Coturnix japonica: one gene and its partner. The protein of the gene in region 2 purifies or fractionates together with the protein of the main gene of each other region. This does not show direct contact. Links are inferred from orthologs where the notes say so. Each region holds a gene or a part of one and is shown on either strand. Other genes may lie near its edges.

Region 1 (2,935 bases), on a different chromosome or scaffold from region 2:
GTTCAGTTTGGTGCTGCCTGCACGTGCCAGTGGCACCATCTAGTGGCATTCAGAAGTGTGCCTGGAGGCTGCTGGGATGGCAGAGGCTCGAGAGGTCCAACAGTGGAGCAGTTGTGCTGGTACAGATGTTTCCGGTCTGAACAAACACAAGAGCTGCTGTGTGAAGCTGAGTCAGACCAGCCATTCTCTTAGAATAACGGCCTGCCTTGTTCAGCATATTGAAACTACTAGTAAATGAGCATCCAAACTGCTGTTTCGCACCATGCATGCAGCCTTGCTGAGCTGGCTGTCAGAGCTCAGATCTTAGCGTGCTCTAGAATAAGCTGATACTTAGCACTTGGTTGTGAGAGAGCTTGTTTCTCTCTGTTGTTTCACCAGCACCGATATAAGACCTAGTTTGTTAAAAGCTTTTGGGAGTAACAAATGTGAAACTGCTCAATATGTTGTACTGTGGTTGTGGTGCCAGGGCCTTATGTGCCTGTGTGAAGACTGATGCTTTCTAACTGGATGCTTTGTGAGGAGGTAATGCAGCAGACAGTGGGTACAAGGAGGCCAAGTGAGCTCAGTGAAACAGGCAGCACTGCAGCAAACAAACTGCTGTCCAGCAGATGTACTTCAGAACAAAATGCTTTTTATTCAGCATGCAGATTAGAAAAATCTCCATTTTTAATGGAAGGAGAAGTTCCCTGCTTTCCTAAGCTGCCTGGACTGGAGAGCCAGCTCAGTGGTGCCATCTGAGGGCTGCTGAAGCGAGTTACAGAGCTTTGAAATACTGATGTCAGTGTCTTCTGCAGAAATACAGCAGTGATAACCTGTGAGGCCAGACTGTGTGGAAAAAGACTGAGGGTAATGGAGACAAAAATGGAAGAGACTCTGCAGGCAGCACAGTGTGAGGAAGGAGGGCACTGAGCTTTAGCTTGAGGTTTGAGGCTGCTCCTCGCTGCTCACAGTGCTTGTGTTTCTTTCAGATCTCCCCGATACCCCTGTTGACCTAGTGATCAACTGCCTGGATTGTCACGAAAATGCCTTTCTGAGAGATCAGCCTTGGTACAAAGCAGTTGTGGACTGGGCCAACCAGAACCGGGCACCCGTCCTCAGCATAGACCCTCCCATAAGCGAAATGGAGCAGGGCATTGATGCCAAGTGGTCGCTGGCCTTGGGGCTACCCCTGCCCCTGGGTGAGAGGGCAGGGCGTGTGTACCTCTGTGACATTGGCATTCCCCAGAAGGTCTTTCAGGAAGTGGGAATAAACTACCACTCACCCTTCGGCTGCAAATTCGTCATCCCCTTGCATTCCACTTAGAGCCCATCCAGCCACGTGGACCTGAAGGAAAAGAAGAGAGGAGGAGTTGTGTCAAATAAGCTGTCCAGTGGAACCTGACTGGTAAACAGGCATCACAAGCCTTAAGGATGTGAAGTTCTGGAGTGAGTTTCCTTCCAGAAGAAATATTATATTAAAAAAGAAAAAAAAAAAAGTCATAAAATGGAACAGAAAGAAGGAAGCAAATGTAACTGCAAAGCTGTTTTCATTCTCTTGTGCCATTGTGAGAAGGAACACGCAGAAAAGTGATATCTGCCCCTGGCAATGGCAGCGGTTGCTGCTGAAACCTGCCAGGGGATTATATAGCATAGGGATATGCATGGGAATGTTCTGGTACAAGCGATGGGTGGTGTGGAGGCTTGGGATGCATTTCCAATCCTTCTGGGCAGATGGACCCAGCAAACTGTCCTGGTGGGATCAGCTCCCCTGGGTTGTGTAGAAATAACCTTTCTTTTTTTCTTTTTCCCTGCAGTTGTAGTGGGAGGTTGGATTTGATTTTTGTTCTGTTCTGTTGGATTCCCCCTCCCTGTTCTTTGTTCATGAAGGCAATAGTAGCTCCATCCCTTCAAGGAGAGAGTTCCCTCATCAGAAAGCTCATATCAGGAGCCAGAAGCTCTCAGGCAGCACATGCTCCGAGAGCACCAATGTCCTCAGCTAGGCCTTATTTGCTTATGTATTCTCTTGGCTGTTTGTTTGTTTCGGGGGAACGAGTTATGTTATGGTAAAGAACTTTTCCAGAGTGTTTTGGTTTGTTTGGTTTGTTTCTTTGTTCCCTTTATTTCTGGCACGGTGAGTGGCTCAACAGGGGGAAGCACAGTGAAGCAGGGTAGTGTTGCTCTGACTGTGCTGTATGGTGCAGGTGATGTGTTGATGTGTCCCCCTACAGTGTTTCTAGTGTCTTTCCCATGCACCATGTGGTTGTTCACACATCTGGTCATTCCCTTTGGGCACAAAGGCTGTGTGTGAGGGTGGCTGTGCACACCTGGGTACTGGGTATACTGGAAAGAAACAACCCCTGGCCTTCAAGAGTGCCCTTGGGTCACAGTGGGCTGCGTACCCAGTAGTGACAGGTAGGCCACAGCATTACTGTGTGGTTACACAGAGGTGGGAATGGATGTGGAGTCTGTCCCCCTGTGCCCACTGGGGACCTGGAGTGAGGGTCAGTTCTGCCCTCTGTGCCCAGACTAAGGTGACACAGGAGACACCAGACAGATGCCAAACTGGGGTCCTTGGCTCCCTTCCTGCTTGCTCTGTTCTCTTGGGGCCTTACCTGCCCTCAAAGCTTCTGCTGATCCTAAACTTGTCATGCAGCCTGTTCAAGCAGCTGTGGAAGACTTCAGATCTTCACACAGTGCCTTTTCTCTAGAGCAGCTGGATTCTGTTAGGCTGAAGCATGAGCACAGCTGCCCTGTGTGTGGGAACAGTTCTAGCTGTGCTGTATCTCTGTTTGTCCTGCCCACCGCATGTTGATCCCTGTGTGCTTTGCATATACAGATCAGGCGCTTCTTTTTACCTTTCATCTGCTGAGAGCAGAGGCTGAGGGGTATCAGAGGCAGAGGTAAAAGACTTTGCTGGTTGAAAGGGAGCAGTTGAGTAATTAATTTGCCAGGAAGC
Region 2 (3,749 bases):
GGCTTCGGGTGGGGAATAGGGCAGGAGAAAAGCAGCCCTGCTCCACCCCGAGCTTGCATCACCCCCACATGACAACAAGAAGAAGAAACAACAAAAGGGAGGAAGGCCGCCGTGTCCCATTTCTACACACTTTATCAATACAAAAAGGCCAGCAGGTTGAGGTGCTCCCAGCCCTCGAGGGATGTTCAGCATCCTCCCTAAGCCCCAAAAAGGCAGCGAGCATCTCCTGCACCATGGCGGGGTGGGCGACATCCTGGAGTGTTTCCCTTTGAAAAGAAACACTGAAAGAGCCGTGGTGCTCACCAGCACTTCCAGTAAAAACCCATTCAATTTGGACAATTCAGCCCACAAATATGTGTGGGATGCTGGGAACTCCTCGGGACCGACGAGTGCAGATGGGCTCCGTCTGGAGCAGCGGCCGCAGCTCTTTGCTCCGCGTGGTAACAGCGTGAGTAATCAGAGACCTCCATCCAGCGTTTATTTATCTTATCTCTGGAACTCGGCGAAGCATTTCAGGCTGTGACTTCTGCGGGGGGAAAGGAAGGAAGAAAGAAAAGGATAAAAGAAAGGCTGTTAATCAAAGAGCCTCCAGCGGGAACCTTGTATTAGAAAAGGGAATAGCTCAGGCGTCGGTTTGCCAGGGGTTGTGTAGGAACGGATGAAGTGAAAGGTGCAGGAACGGCCGGGCTGCAGTAACGTGGGGAAATGAAGAGCCAGGGCTGCTGTGGGGGGTGTCTGTGCATAAAGGCCGGGAAGCGCCGGCGCTGTCAGCGCCCATCCCGGCACGGGGCCGAGGCGTCACACGGGGCATCACACGGGGTGTGTGAATGGCTGCCGGTGGGGGCACAGGGCCGGGTGGAGCCGCTGCCCCCCCGCGCTGTACGGGCGGCGTCACCTTCACAGCCGCGTCCGGCCGCTCCCCGCACAACACGCCGCTCCTCGTGAGCCCCGTTCCCGTCACGACGCTCTCGGTCCCTTCGTTCTCTCAGCCCCCTCCCCCGGTGTGAGCGTGACCTCACAGTGCTCCGCACCGCCGCCCCTCCCCCCATCCCTGCACGCCGCTCCCCACGTTCCCGCCACCCGCGCTCCCCCCGCCCATGACGCCGCCCCCCGCCCGGCTCCTTTGGCGCCTTTTCCTTCCCGCCACGTCGTTGCCCGCCGCCGTCGCTCCGCCGCGCGGGCCGCGCCCTATTGGCTGAGGAGCGGCCGAATGGGCGGGGCGTCAGATCGGCGCGCCCAGCGGAGGCCCCGCCCCCCGGCTGTCCCCGGCCCCGCCTCCGCCTCTCGCTACTCCCGCGGCCGGCGCGGGGCTGACGCGCCACACGAGAGTCCGGCAGCGCGGGGAGCAGTCGCGCCGTGCCCGCCCCGCGCCGCCCCCCCCTTCCCCCGGCCCCTTCTCTCTTCTCCCTCCTCCTCCTCCTTCGTCCTCCCCCTCCTCCTCCTCTCGGCTCGCCGTCCCCCGCCCGCCTCCAGCCGGGCTGGGCTGCCCGAGCCGCCTGGGTCGGGTTTGTTCGGGCGGGGCTGCAGCCGGAGCACGGCGGCGGGGATGCTGCTTTCCAAAATCAACTCGTTGGCCCATCTTCGTTCTGGGCCCGGCGCGGAGCTGCACGCCGCCAAACTGCCCGCAGGTGAGGAGCCGCGGGGCGGTGCGGGGCGGTGCGGTGCTGGGGCTCGGGTCGGGGAAGCGCTGACGCCGCGCTCCTCCCGCAGGGAAGGAGAAGGAGCCGCTGGAGAAGCTGTACCAGGTGGGCCCGCTGCTGGGCAGCGGGGGGTTCGGCTCCGTCTATTCGGGGATCCGCCTCTCCGACAGCGCCCCGGTAAGTGCGGGGTGAGCCGCGGGCGGCGGGCGGCGGGGTTCGGCCCGGCTCAGCCCCGCTGAGCGCCGCGCATCGCCCCGCAGGTGGCCATCAAGCACGTGGCGAGGGACCGCATCTCCGAGTGGGGCGAGCTGGTGAGCACCGGGGAACGGGGGATGGGAGGGGGGAGAGAGCGGTGTGGATGGGGGGACGGAACGCCGGAGTATCCCTGTTAGGGGTGCGGGGAGAGGATGGAGCATCTCTGGTTCTGGGGGGGATGGGTTGGGAAGCGTCCCTGGTTTTGGAGCTTGGGGGGGGTGTCGGAGCGTTCCTTGTCTTAAGGTACTGCGAAGTATCCAGACCATCCCTGTACTGGGGTGTGGGATGGGGGGAATCCGGAGCATCCTTGGTTTGATGCACAGTAGGAGTGGGGCGGTCCAGAGCATCCCTGGTTCTGGGATGCAGAGGGGAAGCCACTGGAATATCGCTGATCTGGGGGCACTGGAGCAGCTCGGGCTGGGGCTGATTGGATTTATCCAGCCGGGGGATGGGGCAGGGAGCATCCCCGGCTTTCGGGGACGCACCAAAGGACCTGGCGCTGACAGCACCGGTGTCCCCGCAGCCCAGCGGCACGCGCGTGCCGATGGAGATCCTACTGCTGAAGAAGGTGGGCACGGATTTCCGCGGCATCATCCGCCTCCTCGATTGGTTTGAACGTCCGGACAGCTTCGTGCTGGTGCTGGAGAGGCCAGAACCGGTGCAGGATCTCTTCGACTTCATCACGGAGCGGGGGGCCCTGGCGGAGGAGCTGGCGCGGGAGCTGTTCCGCCAGGTGCTGGAGGCCGTGCAGCACTGCCATGACCGCGGCGTGCTGCACCGCGACATCAAGGACGAGAACATCCTCATCGACCTCGCCACCGGAGAGCTCAAACTCATCGACTTCGGCTCCGGTGCCCTCCTCAAGGACACCGTCTACACCGATTTTGATGGTGAGACATTGCCGTGCGCCGAGGCGTCCCCCTGCATGCAGCAAAATGGGGGGGTGAGGGGGGTGGAGATGTGGCATTATTCAGCTGCCCGCAGAGTGTTTGGCACCTCAGGGTGTTGTGAAATGGGAGCCGGCTCCCGGTGTGAGCACCCAACCAACGCTGCGGGCTGGGGCTGGGGGAGGGCAGCCGACAAAAACAAACAGCTCCTGGGGTGGGTTGGGTTGGATGGTGGTGGTGGTGGGGGGGAGAGGTTGCAAAGCATGGTGTGCAGCCCAGAAGGACGGCTCCGTTCCCCTTGTTTGATTTTTATACAGTCGTTTTTAAATTGATTTCGTTTCTCTTTTGGCAGAGGGGTGGGCACAAGGTGTGGTTGTTTCCCCCCCCCCACTCCTCCCTCGGGAGTTTTATTTTTTGCATGTAACGCTTGGCTCCCGGCCTTCCCCGACCCCGTGCTGCCACCTTCCGGCCCCACTGCCTTTATTTTACAACCCAAAGTTTGTAAACAAGAGTCACGTGCTGCTGGGGGTGGTGTGACGCCTGGTGACCCCCTCTCCCCGCCGTCCTCACCCGCCCCCACGGGACATAAGCCGCTGTTCTCCTGCAGGCACGCGAGTCTACAGCCCGCCAGAGTGGATCCGCTACCATCGGTACCACGGGCGCTCAGCCACTGTGTGGTCCCTGGGTGTGCTGCTGTATGACATGGTGTGTGGGGACATCCCCTTCGAGCACGACGAGGACATTCTGCGTGGCCAGGTGTACTTCAGGCAGAGGGTCTCTCCAGGTGGGCACTGGATTGAGAGCAGTGAGGGGTTCACATCATCCACTGGGGAGCTGAAGGGGGTGGTGTGTCTCTGTGCCCTGCAGTCCACCAATGTGTGGTGGGTGGGGGTTTTGGGTGCAGTGCTGAGTGCCCCCTGCTCACGCTGACTGCTGCTTTGCGTCCCCAGAGTGTGAACATCTCATC

Evidence for each region.
Region 1: the proteins of PIM1 (region 2) and EDC3 purify together in Homo sapiens (affinity purification with mass spectrometry; 3 studies listed by BioGRID and IntAct, counting the BioPlex papers as one, with this or other methods). This does not show direct contact. The link is inferred for Coturnix japonica from reciprocal best matches to the Homo sapiens genes PIM1 and EDC3.

What each region holds. Positions count from the first base shown.
Region 1 is NC_029525.1:1,789,988-1,792,922, forward strand, and holds part of EDC3 (enhancer of mRNA-decapping protein 3), read left to right. Parts: intron 1-968; coding exon 969-1,303; 3' UTR 1,304-2,935. UniProt on the Homo sapiens protein: Binds single-stranded RNA. Involved in the process of mRNA degradation and in the positive regulation of mRNA decapping. May play a role in spermiogenesis and oogenesis.
Region 2 is NC_029541.1:611,781-615,529, reverse strand, and holds the start of PIM1 (serine/threonine-protein kinase pim-1), read left to right. Parts: upstream 1-1,334; 5' UTR 1,335-1,546; coding exon 1,547-1,628; intron 1,629-1,710; coding exon 1,711-1,817; intron 1,818-1,900; coding exon 1,901-1,951; intron 1,952-2,418; coding exon 2,419-2,785; intron 2,786-3,389; coding exon 3,390-3,566; intron 3,567-3,732; coding exon 3,733-3,749. UniProt on the Homo sapiens protein: Proto-oncogene with serine/threonine kinase activity involved in cell survival and cell proliferation and thus providing a selective advantage in tumorigenesis.